Linked DNA regions of Arabidopsis thaliana. The protein of the gene in region 3 purifies or fractionates together with the protein of the main gene of each other region. This does not show direct contact. Each region holds a gene or a part of one and is shown on either strand. Other genes may lie near its edges.

Evidence for each region.
Region 1: the proteins of AT2G18720 (region 3) and AT4G39520 fractionate together in Arabidopsis thaliana (co-fractionation; one large-scale study listed by BioGRID). This does not show direct contact.
Region 2: the proteins of AT2G18720 (region 3) and La1 fractionate together in Arabidopsis thaliana (co-fractionation; one large-scale study listed by BioGRID). This does not show direct contact.
Region 4: the proteins of AT2G18720 (region 3) and EIF4E fractionate together in Arabidopsis thaliana (co-fractionation; one large-scale study listed by BioGRID). This does not show direct contact.

The regions. Positions count from the first base shown.
Region 1 is NC_003075.7:18,370,343-18,375,983, reverse strand, and holds AT4G39520 (GTP-binding protein-like protein), read left to right. Parts: upstream 1-1,744; 5' UTR 1,745-1,983; coding exon 1,984-2,025; intron 2,026-2,176; coding exon 2,177-2,230; intron 2,231-2,624; coding exon 2,625-2,801; intron 2,802-3,058; coding exon 3,059-3,130; intron 3,131-3,432; coding exon 3,433-3,492; intron 3,493-3,569; coding exon 3,570-3,679; intron 3,680-3,771; coding exon 3,772-4,071; intron 4,072-4,154; coding exon 4,155-4,346; intron 4,347-4,446; coding exon 4,447-4,498; intron 4,499-4,604; coding exon 4,605-4,655; 3' UTR 4,656-5,119; downstream 5,120-5,641. Other genes in the region: AT4G39530 (Tetratricopeptide repeat (TPR)-like superfamily protein), read left to right, coding at 1-1,248; CYP96A12 (cytochrome P450, family 96, subfamily A, polypeptide 12), read left to right, coding at 5,513-5,641. UniProt on the Arabidopsis thaliana protein: Binds GDP and GTP, and has low GTPase activity in vitro.
Region 2 is NC_003075.7:15,785,175-15,790,522, forward strand, and holds La1 (La protein 1), read left to right. Parts: upstream 1-2,019; 5' UTR 2,020-2,138; coding exon 2,139-2,189; intron 2,190-2,292; coding exon 2,293-2,371; intron 2,372-2,470; coding exon 2,471-2,620; intron 2,621-2,897; coding exon 2,898-3,040; intron 3,041-3,130; coding exon 3,131-3,279; intron 3,280-3,392; coding exon 3,393-3,515; intron 3,516-3,604; coding exon 3,605-3,899; intron 3,900-4,004; coding exon 4,005-4,152; intron 4,153-4,247; coding exon 4,248-4,320; coding exon of another isoform or gene 4,321-4,324; intron 4,325-4,418; coding exon 4,419-4,509; 3' UTR 4,510-4,822; downstream 4,823-5,348. Other genes in the region: SCRL24 (SCR-like 24), read left to right, coding at 1,163-1,229, 1,465-1,667. UniProt on the Arabidopsis thaliana protein: Binds to the 3' poly(U) terminus of nascent RNA polymerase III transcripts, protecting them from exonuclease digestion and facilitating their folding and maturation.
Region 3 is NC_003071.7:8,114,332-8,118,897, reverse strand, and holds AT2G18720 (Translation elongation factor EF1A/initiation factor IF2gamma family protein), read left to right. Parts: upstream 1-1,899; 5' UTR 1,900-1,920; intron 1,921-2,086; exon of another isoform or gene 2,087-2,128; 5' UTR 2,129-2,138; coding exon 2,139-2,262; intron 2,263-2,360; coding exon 2,361-2,529; intron 2,530-2,559; exon of another isoform or gene 2,560-2,585; coding exon of another isoform or gene 2,586-2,605; coding exon 2,606-2,708; intron 2,709-2,791; coding exon 2,792-3,019; intron 3,020-3,104; coding exon 3,105-3,323; intron 3,324-3,408; coding exon 3,409-3,978; 3' UTR 3,979-4,043; downstream 4,044-4,566. Other genes in the region: AT2G18721 (uncharacterized protein), read right to left, coding at 1,792-1,899; SCY1 (SECY homolog 1), read left to right, coding at 4,446-4,566.
Region 4 is NC_003075.7:10,015,978-10,020,173, forward strand, and holds EIF4E (eukaryotic translation initiation factor 4E), read right to left. Parts: upstream 2,256-4,196; 5' UTR 2,175-2,255; coding exon 1,876-2,174; intron 1,433-1,875; coding exon 1,267-1,432; intron 1,172-1,266; coding exon 1,046-1,171; intron 953-1,045; coding exon 887-952; intron 798-886; coding exon 747-797; 3' UTR 553-746; downstream 1-552. UniProt on the Arabidopsis thaliana protein: Component of the protein complex eIF4F, which is involved in the recognition of the mRNA cap, ATP-dependent unwinding of 5'-terminal secondary structure and recruitment of mRNA to the ribosome.

The DNA.
Region 1 (5,641 bases), on a different chromosome or scaffold from region 3:
AATGCAATGATTGAAGGTTACTCGAGACTTGGGACACAATGGGAACTACATGAAGCATTGAACATCTTTCGTGACATGAGGTTCAGATTGATTCGACCTAGCCTATTGACTTTTGTTAGCCTTCTACGTGCATCTGCTTCTTTAACAAGCTTGGGACTGAGTAAACAAATCCATGGATTGATGTTCAAATATGGGTTAAACTTAGATATATTTGCTGGAAGCGCTTTGATTGATGTTTACTCAAATTGCTACTGCCTCAAGGATTCCAGGCTTGTGTTTGATGAAATGAAAGTGAAAGATCTTGTTATCTGGAATTCTATGTTTGCAGGTTATGTTCAACAATCAGAGAACGAAGAAGCTCTCAACCTGTTTCTGGAATTACAGTTATCAAGAGAAAGACCTGACGAATTCACGTTTGCCAACATGGTTACAGCAGCTGGCAACCTAGCAAGTGTTCAATTGGGTCAAGAGTTCCATTGCCAGCTTCTGAAAAGAGGCTTGGAATGTAATCCGTATATTACAAATGCTCTACTAGATATGTACGCCAAATGTGGTAGTCCCGAAGACGCTCATAAGGCTTTTGATTCAGCAGCTTCAAGAGATGTAGTTTGTTGGAATTCTGTCATCTCATCTTATGCGAATCATGGAGAAGGCAAAAAGGCTCTTCAGATGCTTGAAAAAATGATGAGTGAGGGAATAGAGCCTAACTACATCACCTTTGTTGGAGTTCTATCAGCGTGTAGCCATGCTGGTCTTGTAGAAGATGGACTTAAGCAATTTGAGTTAATGCTTCGATTTGGAATTGAACCTGAAACTGAGCACTATGTTTGTATGGTATCTCTTTTAGGCCGTGCTGGTAGATTGAACAAAGCAAGGGAGTTAATTGAGAAAATGCCGACAAAACCAGCTGCTATAGTATGGAGGAGCTTGCTGAGTGGATGCGCAAAGGCCGGTAACGTCGAGTTAGCTGAACATGCTGCTGAAATGGCTATTTTGTCTGATCCCAAGGACAGTGGATCGTTTACTATGCTTTCTAATATTTACGCGTCCAAGGGTATGTGGACTGAAGCTAAGAAGGTGAGAGAAAGAATGAAGGTTGAAGGTGTGGTGAAAGAACCTGGACGTAGTTGGATTGGGATTAATAAGGAGGTTCATATATTTTTGTCTAAGGATAAATCTCACTGCAAGGCTAATCAAATTTATGAAGTGTTAGACGACTTACTTGTGCAGATCAGAGGAGTTAGTTAATAACTACCATACAAGAACTCATTTTCTATTGGAGTGATGGACTCTATTTGGTTAAAGACCAATGCAGCAGATGAAGCTTAAAAGCGAGCCAAAGAAGAAAGAATAAGCCATGGTTAATATCGAGAAGCTGAAGGGGTAGCTAGCTCAGGAGAGCAAAGATGTTGCTATTAAGTTTTGTAATCAAGGGAAAATCGATTCTGTTCCGTTCAAATCCGAAGGAAGACTCAAAAATTAACCCCGGTTCAGTTCTCAGTTTCTTCTCATCATCTCCTAAAACCGGGTTGAGAGAGAAGTTGTAATGGTGAATGCATGAATGGTATGTTGTACATGATTCATTTGAATTTAGTTAAACCGTTTTTGAAATCAACTAAAACCGAAAAACACCAATTCAAAACAAAACAAAACAAAAATTCAGAACAGGGTTTATTGTATATAACCAAACTAAATTCTCATTCTGTTGTAAATTTTATTAAACCGGAAAACCAAATCGGACATATATGGGCCTAAAATGTTGTTGGGTCAGGCCGAATTCTAGACAGTTCTGTTCTAGTTTTTTCTCCTTTGTCGTAATCAGGTGGACGAAACGAAAACCCTCGGGATTCCTCTGCTTCTGTCTCGTCCGTCGTCGTCAATTTCTCTGCATCAGAGATTCCGGTGTCCTTCTTCCTTTCACTCGCGTATAACCTCTTTTCCTTGACGTTGTCTCCGTGAGCTCTCTGTGCTTTGACTGCAACCATGTCGACTATTATGCAGAAGATCAAAGAAATTGAAGATGAGGTAATTATTCAATCCTCTCTGATTCTTCACCTCTTCTCTTCAATTTTGGATGCATAGAACTGTGAATCCGAAATATCTATTCTGAATCAAAGAAATGATTTTTCAATCTGGGTGACTCACAAGTACGAGGTTTTTTTTGTTTATGTGGCAGATGGCTAAAACACAGAAGAATAAAGCTACTTCTCATCATCTGGGTTTGTTAAAGGTACATTTTTTCTCCTCTTTAGGTCGTTTTTTGTAGCTTTGAGAGTGAGGTTGATTGGTTGAGGTGTTTTTGCTTATCAAATGCAAATTTGGTTGATTGGTTTATATCTGTTTTGATACTTGATAAAAGCTATCATGAAATCCCAACCAGTAAGCAAGCTCATTAAGAAATATTTTAACTTCTGGTTGAAATCGTTTATGTTTTATACGAACTCCCAAATCATTGAATAAGCACAAAGCTGAGATATTTTATTTACGGCATGATCTCTTGTGAAGTTCCTTGGATCAAACAACTACTAGGCAGGCATTATATATTATTCTGTATTGATTTTAGAATTTGGTACTTATTCCTGCACCATTAGCTTCTCGTCATATTTCACTGGTCCATTTTGCAGGCCAAGCTTGCTAAGCTTCGGAGGGACCTTCTTGCACCGCCTACCAAAGGTGGCGGTGGTGGTGCTGGAGAAGGTTTTGATGTGACTAAAAGTGGAGATTCTAGAGTTGGACTGGTCGGATTTCCTTCGGTTGGAAAATCTACGCTATTAAACAAGCTGACTGGGACATTTTCCGAGGTTTGTAGTTATCGTTACGAATATTGAACTTCCTTTCTCTTGTTGTAATTGGAATTTTGAAACCTACCACGTATCCATGGCATCCTATTTCTAGTTACTTTTTGACCAACTTCCTGTGCAATATCACTTATAAGGCAAGACTGTTCGGCGCTAGTCTTTTCCTGGATAGATGAACATAAATCTTGGAATTAGAACTGTATTTTGGCTGATACTCAATTTTCTGAAGGTACATACTGTGATACACAATGTTTTCTCAGGTTGCTTCTTATGAGTTCACGACTTTGACATGCATTCCTGGTGTTATCACATATCGTGGAGCTAAAATCCAGGTATGGTATCTACATCTATGCGTCTGTGTTAATCTGTTATTTGTGGGGGAAAAATGATAATTCTTGGATAGTGTTTCCTCTGTCTTGGTAATTGTTGAAACACAATGAAATCCTTGGCTACATATGCCATGTCCTAGCTTGTAATTATCTTTTCTCGAGTCTTACTTCTATATTAAACATGTATCTTGCTTGATCTTTTAATGACTTCTTGGTACTTAGTTTAAGTCAGGAAACGACCTGTAATTATTCATTGGACACTGATGCTAATACTCTTTTTTATGTCCCCTTCTATGTGTTTGCAGTTATTAGATCTTCCTGGTATTATTGAGGGTGCTAAAGATGGAAAAGGTAGAGGAAGACAGGTAAGTCGAGTCTAAATCTCTTGAGTATTTTATATTTTGACCCTCTTTGATCATCTTTCACACTTTACTATTTCCAGGTTATAAGTACGGCTAGGACATGCAACTGCATCTTAATAGTTCTTGATGCCATAAAACCAATTACTCACAAGCGTCTCATTGAAAAAGAGCTCGAAGGATTCGGAATAAGGTATAGATTGTTTATATAACAACCTTTATACACTGTATATTTGATCGTTTCTGGTAGATAGTCTGACTCGATCATGGACTGTTGCTATGTAGGTTGAACAAGGAGCCACCAAATTTAACATTTAGGAAAAAAGACAAAGGTGGTATCAATCTAACTTCTACAGTCGCTGTCACACACCTTGACCTTGACACCGTCAAGGCGATTTGCGGTGAGTACAGGATGCACAATGCTGACATCACCCTGCGCTACGATGCAACCGCTGATGACCTCATTGATGTCATCGAGGGCAGTCGGATTTATATGCCCTGTATCTATGCTGTCAACAAGATCGATTCAATCACACTTGAGGAACTTGAAATTTTGGACAAACTTCCTCATTACTGTCCTGTCAGGTAAATGTTGTTAAATTACCGGCAGGATTTGCGATAAACTTGTTTACTTTTGCCATTAAGATATAAATTTATTTATCTTGCAGTGCGCATCTGGAGTGGAATCTTGATGGACTTCTGGACAAGATATGGGAATACTTGGATCTAACTCGAATCTACACAAAACCAAAGGCAATGAATCCGGATTATGATGATCCCGTAATCTTATCATCCAAGAAGAGAACAGTAGAGGACTTCTGCATCCGGATTCACAAAGACATGCTTAAACAATTCAAGTAGTAAGTAATTAAAATCCTTAACATTTTTCTTTTCTCTGTTATATGGTTCTTGCTCAAAAGCATCGCTCATGAATACTTAACTAATGATCTCCTGATACAGCGCTCTGGTTTGGGGTTCAAGTGCCAAACACAAGCCACAAAGAGTTGGAAAGGTTAGTTCTTCTAGCAAATCAAACAAAAGTTAATCTGGTAAATCGATATTGCAATATCCCTGACTAACTAACTATTGCTGTCTCGACATCGTATTTTATACTTCAGGAACACGAGCTTGAGGACGAGGATGTTGTTCAGATCGTTAAAAAGATATGATTTTTGCAGATAATGGAGAGCAGTCAAGAGACCAACCAAAGTAGCCATAATGAGATCTCCTATAGGAAGGTCAGGATTTCTTTTGGTTTCTCAGCTTTATCTTTCTTTTGTAATTGTATTATTATATCCAGACGAAATCTGTGTCTACACCCTTTTTTATGTCTTATTAGATACTTTTGTCTTCTTCCAATAATACTATTAAGCATGTGATTGATGTTGTCGGAACACCTCCTATTATCTCCAGTATGGGTTTGCCTAGATTTTCTCCTCCCTTGTTTTTATGTATGCAACTAGACTTTTTTGGATTTTATTTACTAAACATATGATTCAGTTTTTCTTCATGTAATAAAGAAAAACTGTTAAAACGGCCTTCATTGCACTGACCAGGTCGAGGTGTTATTATTTCTGACAGTTAGTTGTTACTTGGACTGTTGATTAAATTTAATGACATTAATAGATTTGGAAAACTATTACAACGACCTTCGTTGCAGTGTCTGGGACCGTGAATTCTGATGCACTTCTCGATTTGTCTATCCTCTTAAAGTTGGTTTGTCATTTAGTGTCTGAAATTGTAAGATTATGGACCCTTCTTTACAAGTCCTCCACCAATTCTGTCTCATCCATTTGTGTGGTTAGTAGCTTCACCAGCTTAACACTTTCACTAATCTTAATTCTTAAGATATGAAAAGCAGTTGAATGAATGCATTGGTAATTTCTTTCTTTTTTAATAAATTTTCTTTTTGTTGGTTGCTAATTTATATATGTAATAATCTTACTCTATATAAACAAGTTCCTTCAACACACAAAAGGAACCACCACCATATTGTGTCTGTAAACCAAGCTCCTAACTCTCTCATATGGCTTCTGTAAGCTTACTTGACGTTGCCATAGCCATCATTTGCCTTTTCTTCTTCTATTACATGTACTTCAAGAAACCTCATGGTCAGGTTTTTCGAAACTGGCCAGTTATTGGGATGCTTCCAGGC
Region 2 (5,348 bases), on a different chromosome or scaffold from region 3:
CCTAACCAACATTGCTTTTACCTATTTTTTAGTTTTTACTAATAGAATTGTTATGAGTGTTTGTAGTGTTGTCATTTTCATGACCCATAAATAAGTTATGTTATTCTAATGTATCTCTCTTTTTCCACACAAATTTTTAATAAAGTTATGAGTTACTTCTTTCTAAGTAGTTAGTATGAGTTTTCCAATCAATCTATTTTCCACGTTCAGTTTTCCAAATTGTATTGATCCTGTTATAGTGTAATTACGCATTTTGTAATTGGCCATGGTACTACAATACTAATACTATCATGTTATCTGCAGACTTCAATCTTTTATTTTTAAAAATTAATTATTAGCATTTGTAATATTGATGTAATTTTAATACAAACTGTTTATTAATTTGTTTGAAAACTTATGTGGACAAATAAAATTAGTATACAGAACAAAAAAATATGTTTCAATACCAAAAAAAGTTCACTCCCTAAGCTTTTCTGTCTCTTAAGGATAACATCCTGGATGAGGTCTCTCGATGATTCCCCCCACATACAACATAACCATATAAAAAAAAAATCATCAGCCAAGTGAAGCCTCGGGAACAGTAGTGTGAACCTTTGGATCCTTGGCCTATCGTCAAATGATCGACGACGGTCGAGTTGATTGATCCTACACAGTACACAACCTGAATGTTTTCCCATAGCATCTCTGCTTCATCTATTCCTTGCTAGTAGGATTGATCCCAGAAAACCATAAATTTGTTTTATAAAGATTGAACGTTTGTCTATAGATTAATTTTCAATGGATTAAACATTGTAAATTAATGGTCTTATGGATTTTGTGAGTTTAGATTATCAAGGTTAGAACTGTGTATTTTGAAAAGAATAGGTGATGCGTCATCACAATACACGCAAAAAAAAAAAGTGAAAAATATATAATACTAGTAAGTAGATTTACAAAGAAGAATTTTTCCAAAAAAGAAAGAGTTGATCCGTCGAACTCGTTAATTAAGAAGGCTCGTTGAATTTTACAAAGCAAATTCTAAAAAAAGATGCATCTATTTTTACGATATCTCGAATATATTTATTATGAGTGTTGTTGATAAGAAAGATAAAAAATTCGAGAGGCAAACAATAGTTTTCTGCAACTATAGAGATAATTAATAATTCTTATCAGCTTTTCAATCATGAGATCTGTTATTTGGTTTATAGTTTCTTATACTCTCATGTTACTCGTTCTGAGAGGTGGTAAAGGTAATATGTTGAGTTTTTTTTGTATGGACGTAACTCGTATATAATAAGATATAAAACAAGGATGTTCTTTCTAATTGCAAAAACGGTGTTGTGATTAAAGGAAATAAAAAGCATTGTTACAACGTTAACATATGGTTTAATAGTGAACTTATTTGGATTGTCATTTGTTTATTAATCGAACTAAAATTAACGTTTTTTTTTTTTTTTTTGGTTTGTGTGGTTGAGAAAACAATAGAAGTGGAAGCTGAGAAACTGTGTACAACGATAGGAGACTTGGACGGTAAATGTAGCCAAGACGGAGAAAAGTTGTGCATGAGATACATGACTGATCAATCTAAAAAAAAGTTTCTTAGCTGCACATGTAATAACGTTGTTATGTTACACAAGTACAAACATTATTGCGAATGTCAATCTCATTGTACTCCAAAACAAACGTAAGCTGTAACTCTATAATCAATATATCTCTTTACAACTAAATAAGAATTGTTGATAGAGTTTGTAGTGTTTTCACGACTCAAAAATACAAATGTTGTGCTGATTGAAGTATGAATTTTTGGTTCAAGTCTTGATCTTGATCATTGAAAAAAATCGTGAAAATATTGATCAATTGCCAACGAAAAGACGTAATGGGGTGAATCAGATAGTGTAGGATTATTTGGGGTAATTTTGTTACATTCTAAAGTATAGTGGGTGGGGTTAAATTGATAGTATTAAAAAAGTCAAGGGTTAATACGAAATACAAATATAATCAATAGCGAAAAACCAAAAAATAAATAAATAAATGACAATTTGACTCGAAAACTTTAAGAGAAAATGGAAACTGTGTCTCAATAAACCCTAGTACCCTTTTTCTCTCTTATTCTTCTATCTTCCTCCTCCTCTATCTTTCGCTCGAGCCATTGAGCAATTATGTCGATTCCTTGTCTAACCGAAGAGACAGCCAAAACTGTTCTTCGCCAGGTACAAACTTGTCTTCTTCTTCTTCTTCTGCGGTTCCTCTCTAGTAGCTTCACCAGTTTTTTTTCTTTCGATTATGTTCTGATATTTGATATCGATTTTATAGGTGGAGTTCTATTTCAGTGATAGTAATCTACCCATTGATGATTTCCTCAAGAAGACTGTTACAGAGAGCGAAGATGGCTGTAAAGTTTTAAACTTTTAAACAAATTCAGTCGCTATCGCTGTGTATTTTGATTTTTTTTTGTTATGGCTAATTGATGATTTTTTGGTTTGTCAAATAGTGGTGAGTTTGGCGTTGATTTGCTCCTTTAGTAAGATGAGAGGATATTTGAAGTTGGGTGATTCTAAAGGAGATGATATTCCTGAAGATACCATCAAAGCTGTTGCTGATACTCTTCGAACCTCTTCTGCTCTCAAGATTTCTGACGATGGTGAGTTTCATGATATAATCAAGTTTCTGTTGGGTTTGGATATAGTTAACAATTGCTTTAATTGATTCAAACGAAGTAGTGATATCTTAGAAGAAAGATAATAGTTTGAGAGTTTCAATTATAGGTGAATGGCCTGTGTAGTGCATAGTTTAAACTTAGTTTCATTAAGAAAAGTCTTTGCATGTGGATTTTACAAGTTTGATAATATGTGGTGTCAGATTGGAGAAATATGTTTTGTACAGTTTAGTGATCAATTTTGTTGGATTTTCTTAAACAGGGAAAAAGGTTGGTAGGAGTACTGAATTGTTGAAGCTGGAAGATTTGATTGAGCAACTTAATGCTAGAACAGTAGCTGCGTCACCTTTCTCCTATGATGTTAAAAGGGAAGACGTGGAATCCTTTTTCAGTCAGTATGGAAAGGTAATCCACTATCGATTGAATCATAAGCCATTGTTCAAAATTTAGATTGGTTATACAAGTTTTTGGTATATGTATGTGTCGTCCTTGCAGGTTAATAGTGTGAGGATGCCTCGTCATGTTGCAGAGTCGAGGATATTTTCTGGTGTTGCCTTGGTTGAGTTCCCTACAGAAGAGGATGCCCAGAATGTTATGAAGCAGAATTTGGTCTTTGCTGGTCAGGAGTTGGAGCTGAAACCAAAGTAATCATACTTAGACATGAAAACATGTCCTGTTTGCTGACTGTTTCTCATTTTACAAGTCTTTCCATTGAATGTTTGGATGGGTTACTTAAAAGGTGATATATTCTTTTCAGGAAAGAGTTTGATAATGAAAGGGAGAAGGATGAAGTAAAATTTGCTAATTACCAACCTCAGAAGGGATCTGCAAATCAGAAGAATGGTTCTGATCACAAAAACAATTCTGCTTATGAGCCAGAGTAGGGGTTTGACTGTTGCTATCTAATTACTTGTCTTTTCATGCTAATAATCCTCTTGATCTGATTATGGCTATTTTATCGTATTGTAGTTATCCCAAGGGTTTGATCATTTCATTCACCCTCAAGCGTTCAGCTGAAGAGGGTACCACGGAACAAAAAAGTTCTGAGGAGCCAACTGATAAGACAATGGAAGAAAGTGAAACAAAGCCAGCAGATACTCCTGATGCTGATAAAGAAAACACTGGTGAGGTTCAGGCCGAGGGAGCAGAGGATGAAGATGATGAGAAAGAAGAAAAGGGTGCTCTAGCCACCCATAAAGATAATAAGGATGTTGTCTTACGTGAAGATCTTAAGGCTGTTTTCGGAAAATTTGGTGATGTCAAGGTACTACTTGAGTTTTACTTAGCTGTCTGTCAACATGAATCAGATTCAATATCTCATATAACTGACATCATTTTCACTGATTCCTTTATTCTTTTTGTTGTGAAGTTTGTTGATTTCAAGATGGGATCTGAGACGGGTTATCTTAGGTTTGATGAACCTGAAGCATCCCAGAAAGCCCGTGCAGCAGCAGTATTAGCCAATGAAGGTGGACTAGCCGTGAAGAATTTTATTGCTGTCCTAGAACCTGTTATTGGTAAAAACACCTTTTCAACTTCAATCTTATCTTATAACTAAACCTTGTGTTCTGCTTTAGTTAAATGGTCACTTGTTTATATTGCTCTCTGTCAGGCGAAGCTGAAAAGGAGTATTGGACTCTCCTACGAAGCAAAGATCGGTTTGACAAGGGTGGCCGTGGAGGAAGGTGAGTTCATGTTTTTGTTCTGGTTTCTTTGTTATGATTTTGTTTCAAATGAAGTTTTTGTTTGGTTCTTCAGATAATAATATACTTGGTCTATGCAGGGGAGGAAGAAGAGGAGGGAGATTCGGGAGAAAGAGGGGATCAGATTCACCGGGTGGTCGCTGGAACAAATCTCAGAAGGTGGAAGCATGAGAGATTTCGCTCGTGACTGCTTCTGTTTTTCAATATATTTCTAGTTGCAACTTTAAATTTAATGTATCGACTGGTGACTCGTGATGTTATAACTAGAAATAGCTGCTTATTTGGCAAATTTTGGTTTAGTCATATTTGGTATTGTTTTGTTTAGCTTTATGTGCCTTCTTATGCACACATCTCTTTCCTTAATTATTTTAAATCGATGTTTAGGAAGCATTCTAAAAGACAAACTATTAATATTAACTGCTAAAAGTATATTCCTGTAAATTCTACAACTGTATCAATTGACTCACTGATGATGACACTATTTTACTTGAAGTAGTTAAAATTAATTTTGAAAATCAAATAGTTTTGGTATTCTTCTTGGTCTTCTCGTTTGACTTTGTCTACATTGTTATTAGGTTTTTATGCTGATTTTAGAATTAGCTGTTACTGGCAATTTCATCTTCTTCCTTTTTAATGAGAAAAAAACTCTTCTTTCATACAAAGAATGCTTTGCCGTTGTTTAGAAGAAGAAGCAACAGAGAATCTCGAAAGAAAAATGAATGAAGAAACGTATAAATAAATAAATTGAACTTTTATGATATGAGAGACTAAAAAGCGAGATTCAGAGATTGAAATCAACGGCTGAGATCACTTTCCTTTTTGTTTTGATCTCTCTCTCTCTCTCTCTCTCTCACTTCGAATTCCGTCCGCCTCTCCATGTTTGAGTTTTGAATACCTCTCTCTCTCTCTCTCATTCTCTCTCTCTCTCTCTCTCTCTCTCTCTCTCTCTCTCTCTCTCTCTCGACTTCGATTTCGATTTGTGTTCTTCTTCTTCTTCATCTGGATTCTCA
Region 3 (4,566 bases):
GAAACCCAGATAATCAAAATTGGAGTTGAAATGAAAAATAATAAAGGATTGTTTTTTTTTAATCTTTCTTCTTCTTCTTTGCTGAGAGATTTCAAATCAACCAATATAAAATCTTCTTTTGACAGTTTGTATTTTCTTGTCTGTTTTGTCTTTTTTATAAATGATTTAGTTTCGAAGACAGCGCACAAAACGTGTGAATTAATTTGCTTATATTGAAAAAAAAAGAATTTACACGGTTGGATTTCAATGTGACGTCATAAAAATGCCACTCTTTAGATCTTTGATTCTTTTTCTTTTTTTATTGTTTGACATTTATGAAAGCGACTGATAAATGTTTATTTTGTAAAAGTTCTAATTTAGAATAATTTTGATTATTAATAATATTAAACTACTAAGATTTGTATAGTTTAATACCATTATCTTCTGTAACTAAGATTTGTAGATCTTTTGTTTCTGTAAGATCAAATTTACAATTTAAAGTGTACAAAATCTTACAATACTAATGATGGCATAAAGAGATTAACAATGAGATTTTTTAACGTTATTGTTATATCAAGAAAACCAGAGAAAATTAATTAGTAATTGATTGATACATTGTAAGAATAGGATCTAATGATATTTTAATATTCAAAAAGGTTCCATTATAGAGGTTACATCTGGTGAATATGATTGAATACAATTTGATATAGAGAATTAGAGATACTTGCATTATTATTTGCTTCCTATTATTATTTGACTGCATTATTGGTTTCTTTTTCTATGTAAAAAATATTTTCAACTCTCCAACAAAGAAACAAAATTCTCTGACATTTTGCTTAGAAAGAGTGGCGTTTTCGTCATTAAACAAAGGAATAGTTTTGGTGGTAACGTAAATTGTAAAAAAACAGCGAAGGAGACAATAGAAAATGAGAGCAGACATTGAAGTTAGTGGATTTTCCACAGAATGGGGCCTACAATGTTATTGCCCACTCAGAGAAATAGGGTCACTGAAAGTGATAGCTACTTCCCATTGCTGGGATCGTTGTGTACTTTTTCTAACCTAAATTTCCCTCAATGCCTTTTTCTTAACTTATAGAATTGGTCGAAACTTGAAAGTATATACAAATGCCACAGAAAAAAACATCATTTAATACCTTCTTAATTGCACGATATGATATCAGATGTTTTGTAACCAAGAATTGGTCCATGTAAACAATTTATTATGTGGCAGAGGAAGACTCAAATTCAGGTGGCTGATAAAAAGTGGGGTTTAAGATATTTCTTGAACTGGAAGACAATGAGCGTGTGTTCTCATTAGTATTACAAATCATATTTACATTATTATAAAGCGGAACATATTTACATTATACTCCAAATGATGTAACTATAAAATTTGATCTAACAATATATATCGTTAAGAAAAATAACCTAAATTTATCACAGCTTATTCATTTACACTCCTATAGAATCATAGATTTCCTACTCTTTTTTTTTTGTCATCATATAAACATATACTACTTTTTGTTCAAGGATCAATGTTTCTTAGTTTGGTGAAAGATAGAAGTAAACTGGAGTGGGCCAATGGTTAGGCGTGTAAGCCCAAACTTTGGAACGATTTTAGCCCATCTCAAAAGGAGCGTGCTATATTTTGTAAATGAAATTGCAAAATTACCTAACACAAATTTTCCTATAAAAAAACATTTCGGGTAAGAAACCGACAATTATAAAATAAAAATTGTAAGACATGTTTTATTGACACATGGAAAAATGAAGTTGGCGAAAAAGACAAACAGTAAACGTTAAGATAAAACCCTACCTATAAATATACCTTACACGCCACCTGACTTTATCAAAACCAAAAACACAAACCTTCAACGGCACGCTTTCTCCTCTGAAATCTCTGCGAGCAAACTTCTTCATCTACCTCTTACCGTACTTCAGGTTTGTGTAAATCATTTTTATAAGAACTTCAGTGAAATAGATTAGCAACCCTAATTGAATTTAATCGAATCGTAACTATTGTGAACGGAACCCATCCATCTTGCATAAAAACCCTAGTTTCTGAACAGCCTTTCGAAACTTCTAGTGTTATTGTATTGGCTCTGATCAACGTTGTTCTAAAGTTGTGAACTTTGATTGATTGCAACAGAGTGTTTAAGATGAAATCTGTCGTAATGTCGAAGAACAAGGGCTTAGCTGAACAAGATCTAAGTAAACTTGATGTAGCTCAGCTGCATCCTCTCTCTCCTGAGGTCATCTCTCGTCAAGCCACCATTAACATAGGTATACACAAGTTTTTGTTTCATTGAGTTTTGATGCTGAAGAAACTGATCAGCCGTGCATTGAAAGCTAAAGATATGACTATGCTCTCTATATCTCAGGAACCATTGGCCATGTCGCTCACGGGAAATCGACAATCGTGAAAGCCGTTTCCGGTGTGCACACTGTCAAATTCAAGAGTGAATTGGAGCGTAACATTACCATTAAACTTGGTTACGCAAACGCAAAGATTTACAAATGTGAAAAATGCCCTAGACCAGTAGCCTACAAGTGAATTCTTGCTCTTCTTTTGCTACAATAAGGTTACGTAGTGTACGTAGCAACTTATGATATGTGTTAATTATAGGTCTTTCGGGAGTGGCAAAGAAGACAACCCAAGTTGTGATGTCTCTGGACATGAGAAGTACAAGATGAAACTACTAAGACATGTCTCATTTGTTGATTGCCCGGTATAAAATGAGTTTTAACACTATTTCTAAATCTTTTGTAACCATTTTCTATATGTTAATGAGGTGTTTTGTGTGTTGATTAGGGACACGATATCCTAATGGCGACAATGCTGAATGGAGCAGCGATTATGGATGGTGCTTTACTAATCATTGCTGCGAATGAGACATGTCCACAACCACAAACAGCTGAACATCTTGCTTCTGTTGATATGATGCATCTTAAAGATATCATAATCATTCAGAACAAGATTGATCTCATCCAAGAAAACGAGGCTATTAAACAGCACGAGGACATCCAGAGATTTATAACGGTTTGATTCAATTTTCCCATTCTGTTTTTTTTTTGCATTTTTCACTTCTTGATTAGTTGGTTAAGTTTTAAACTTGTTATTACAGAACACGAATGCGGAAGGTGCTCCTATAGTTCCTGTCTCAGCGCAACTGAAATACAACATCGATGTTTTGTGTGAGTACATTGTCAAGAAGATTCCACTCCCTGTGAGGGATTTTGTGTCACCTCCAAGAATGATTGTGATTCGTTCTTTTGATGTCAATAAACCTGGCTCTGATTATGATGGTATGAAAGGTGGAGTTGCAGGTGGGAGTATCCTTCAGGTAAAACATACTCAATACCCCGAAAAACTAGGATAAATCGCGGTTGAATCAATGTAACTTATGTCTCTCTTTGCTTTGTTTGCAGGGTGTTTTGAAGGTGGGGCATATAATAGAGATAAGACCTGGAATCACTAGAAAAGATGAGAATGGAGACACTAAATGCACTCCCATTTACACGCGTATAACTTCATTGTACGCGGAACAGAACGAGCTTCAGTTTGCTGTCCCGGGAGGTTTGATTGGAATTGGGACAAGCATGGATCCTACGCTTACGCGTGGTGATAGGTTAGTTGGTCAAGTCCTTGGTGAAATAGGTACTCTCCCTGATGTCTATGTTGAACTTGAAGTGAGTTTCCAGCTTCTGACACGTCTCATTGGAGTGAAGACAAAGGAAACAGAGAGGCAAATGAGAGTGTCAAAGCTAGTCAAGGGAGAGATACTGATGTTGAATATCGGATCGATGTCTACGGGAGCTATGGTTATTGGAGTAAAGAAAGATATGGTGAAAGTTAATCTGACACTCCCTGTGTGCACCAGCATTGGAGAGAAAGTGGCTATAAGTCGCCGTGTGGATAGGCATTGGCGTTTGATCGGTCGCGGTCAGATTGAGGCTGGAACCACCATTTTTATCCCTTCTCCTCCTTCTTTGGCATGATTATATTTGATGCATTCACATATACCAAACTTGTAGTCTCATTATATCTTCAGAGTATTCCTAATCTGTCACCAAAGGAGATAACTAAACTTCTATGTGCTTATGCTTTTTGTGTGAAGTCTAACTAGAGTTTGATCAATTGCATCATCTTGATTTGTTATTAAAAGTTTTATAGTCTATGGATGTTACAGCTTAATTAACTAATTATCCTACATAGTTCATTTGAGAGAAAGATATAATTTGTGATTGTTGAAACTTGAAACTTGAAGTCTTGAAGAAACAGAAAGAAAGACTTGAAGTCATGGTCTCATTCCTAACGCCCAAAACAACAAAGATTAATAATGTGCAAAAGATGTATTGGGCCTAAAAGGCCTGGCCCATTAGCTGGATTCCGTAAGAAAAAAAAAAAAAGTGAAAAGGAAAAGAAGAAATCGTCGTTGTTGTGGAGAAGGAGAAGAAGGATAAGGATGATAACGGTAAGCGAAGTTTCCTCTTACTCTTCTTCTTCTTCAAACTTCGCGTCTCTGTCTCGTCTCAATCACAAATCATCTTCGAGATTGCGAAGCTCTTCTCTTTACAAAGGAAGCT
Region 4 (4,196 bases), on a different chromosome or scaffold from region 3:
TATTTGAAGCTTTTGGGTAGTTGATTGTAGCTATTTAAAATCAATTTCAGATTATGGTTTAGCATAATTGGAAAACCTTTTGTTTATATATTAAAAAAGATCAAATCCATATGCTATAAGATTGCATAATAATAGAAAGGAAAATTTTATTTGTTGAAACGAGTGATGTATTATTATTAGCCGAAGAATCTTGTCGTCCCAAGTGGTCCTTTTCAGACAGTTGGACAATTTACATACTCGCTACTTAGATCTCCTACCGACACTCCCATTTCCTCTAAACCGGTCACCGTCAAAAACCGAGTTAATCGGTTCACACTGCTAAATAATCATTCCATTAAAATAAATGCTGAGGTGGATCTTTAAAACCTAAATTAAAAGGTTAATTATAAAGGATGTAAATGTGACAATGTAAAAGTAGTTTTCTCTAAAACCGGTTAAAGTCAATCGCTCATGAGTGTACATGGGCTCTTGTCAAGTAAACATATACACTATTCAGGCTTTTAAGGCCCGCCTTGGGTAGACAGAAGCACTGTTTGTCTGTAAAGCTTGCGCTCACTCCGGTGGTTTTATACAAGGGCACCAACGTAAATATTATGAAGAACCATACTAATATATTACTAAATGAAATGTTAGAGCTTCGTGAACAATCAACACTAGCAAAGACAGACTGTCAAGTCATGTTTAGATAAATAGAGATCTCTCACATACAAAACTGTAATTGAAACAATGCAAAGATTTGAGAGGTTTCAAGCGGTGTAAGCGTTCTTTGCATTCCTGTCGAGCTTCTTCGCATCCTCCTGAAAAAAAAAGAAACCAAACCAAACAATGAGAGATCTGAAGAAAATGAAGACTTTTGAATTAGAATTATGAGAAGCTTTCTTCTTACATGGATGATGAAACCTATGCTGTTGTTGTAATCGAGAAACTCCTTCCATTGTTTTCCAATGCTCACCTGCAACATTTGATGCAGACGAGAATTAAAGTCTTATTTTTACACAGAGAGACTGTTTGATGAGTTTTGATGAGAAAGGTCTTTTCTATTTACCTGAGCAGCTTCGTTTGAAGCATTTTTAGTCCAAATAGATATCCTTTCTTGCTTTCCTCTAATGTTGACAACTGCTCCACATATTTCATCTCCATGATCAAACTGCTCTCCAATCAATGCAAGCAACTAAACCAAGCATGTAAAAAGAAAAACCGGTGAGATTCAATTGGATGATGACGCAGGAGTTACGAGTCAAAATAAAAGAAGAATAGAAACCGTACAGTGTAGAGCCAGCTCTTATCAGACTTCTCCTTAGGGAAAGTCATAGTCCATTTTCCTCCATTAGCACAAATAGGATCCTCCCACTTAGGTTCAATGATGTGTTTGAAACAGTAGAAGTCAGCTCCGTGAGCTAACTTGCTCGGATGCTTCATGTTGTTGTACAAACTGCAAACCAAAATGTCTTTTAAAATAAGAAGTCGAAAGAACAATACACAAACCTATGAATCTCATTGGGAAGAGCAAGAACTATACAACATCAACCCTCAGTCATCACGAAAGTGTTTGCTCAAATTCTGATACCTAGAAAACCACTAAGAAAGATTTCAAAGTTGGTCTCTTTCTCTCACAAACTTTGCTCTTCTACTTTACTTCACAAACAAGTGAACAGAATATCAAAGCTAAACCCTAACATAAGCTTTAGCTACGAATTCAAACACCAAACATAGCAATTCATCAAAAACATATAATGACTTCAATGGGATCTTCTAATCCCCCAATAAAGAACATAACTTTCCTCAACAAATCGAAACCTATAACAAAACCCAGATGCAGAATAATTGAACAAACCAGATATTGAGTCGGAAATAAAATAAAATCAAAAACCTAACCTCCAAAATTCCTCAACAGTTGAAAACGTAAACACGGGTCGCAAGGAACTTCCCCAAGAGGTTTGTTTCGATTTCACAGCAGGATTATCGAACCAGAAAGTCCATGAATGTTCCAGAGGATGCGATTCAGGAACACCGGATTTGCTCGATTCGTCAACGTTTCCGTCTCCTTCTCCTCCGGCGATCTCTCCTTCTTCGGCATCATCACCTTCCTCATGGTATCGATCAATCGGATTCTCTATTGAATTAGGCTTAGCTTCTTCCGTTACAACAGATTTGGGAGTGTCTTCTACCGCCATTGTTTCTCCGAACTGCTTCTCTTTCTCTCTATCTCTCTGTCTATTACTCTTCTCCAAACTAATGTACTTCCTCTCGTAGGGTTAACTATGATACGACGTCGTTTTAATTACATACTTCTTGTCTTTTTTCTTTTTGGGCCGAAGAGATAACTTAACAACTATTATGGGCTTTAACTTGTCTCCGGCTCTTTTTGCTCTTAAAGGTTTTTCTAATGGTCGTGTTAGTTTGAAGTACATGTACTAAATTATGTTTGTTTTGTAGTCTTCAAAAAAATCAAATAATTTTAGTGATTAACGTTAATTCAAAATATGAAACGTGAAAATGTTTATAGACTGAATTTTTAGTCATTAGTTGATGAAATCAGTCACCAAAACTGGTTGCCAAATTCGATTATTGAATTACTAACCACATAAACAAACAACAAACTTTAGAATTGGTTGTTTTCGTTAGTTTGGTCGTTGATCGCTAGCAGCTACAAAAAAGTTAAGAAAACATGTTGTTATTGTCAGAACTGTAAAACGAACATGATCAGGTTTTTATATGCTTTCACAAAAGCATATAATATGATTATTAAGAAAATGTGAAGTATTTTGTAGACTGTCAAAAGTTTGAGAGATTTATATCTTATGGAAGTGTTAATAGCTTTTGACTATATAAGTGAGTTTGTCTTACCTTTCTATTTCTAAAGGTTGTGATCTGCCTGCCGCCCCATAATAGTATTTCTTTTAAGATATTAAATTGTTTATGTACCTAGTTTGGGTTAATTAATATATATAATATGTTAGACCAACAAGACAACTGGATTATATTCTAAATCTAAACAATATACAATTGTGTTTAAGTTCCGTGCATGTAAATTTAAAAGTTTAAATCAGTGGATATACCACGTACAGAAACAAAACGAAATTTCTTATATTCATTCCATTGGTTTTATCGGTCAAACGAAAGAAAGGAGAAAATAAAAAGATTTCATAATGTTTCGCAGTCGAATGTATTCTATTACTTCATAGTTGATAGAGACGTATAACTAAGTGAAGCTGGTTCTATTCCATTAACTGTCAGAATTTGTTTATTGTGCATCACTACTCACTAGTAACTTAGTAAGTAGTAACTAATTGTGCAGAATATACTCAAAAAAGTTATTCTCGACACCAGGAGAGACTATAAATATAGAGTTTGGTTTTTGTTTACATTTCTATGCTATATATTCTTTAGATTTTATAAGAAATAAGATTATTTGATTCGCTGCAAAAACATAATTGCATGGCTTGTCTATATGCCGTCAAACCAAGAATCTCGAATGTTAGTTATACACGTTTCAAATATATATTTGATATGAGTTATTCGAGAATATATTTATAATGATAGTACATACGTAATTCGAAAAGAATAAGTTTAAGTTTGCTTTAGTTGTCAACCATTCTTTATACCAAAAATAAATAAATTGTCAACCATTCTTTATACCAAAAATAAATAAATTGTCAACCATTCTTAATCTAACTTCTCAGTGCGTGTGATTTTTTTTTAAGCAGATGTAAGAAAGAAAAAGGTTGTCGACGTTAATCATGGCTCATGCAATGAATCAAATAAACTTATTTTATATTTATCAACATATTTTATATACGGGAGATTTTTCAAATCTATCGACTTTTTTGTTTAGCAACGAGCGCTTAATGATGGTCGATAGATCAAAGTTTGTCGCTAGTTGACGTTTTCTTTTGTAGTAAAGAACTGATCAACAGTTTTTTTTTTTCTTTTTTTTTTTGTAAAGTTTAGAAGTGACTGCCTGACTGGTATTGACGACACAAGTGATAATTGATAAATGATGAGTTTGGATCGTATGAATTGACTTGTATGGTAATATTGCATAACGCGTCATCGTTTCTCCCATTATTCTATAAAGATTAGAATCAAAATCTCTTTTTAATTTCTTTTCAACTTTTAAAAAATTAACATTAATATTTACTTTTGAAAAGAAAGTAAACTTACAAAACATGTCCAAAGAACAGAGAAAATTTGAA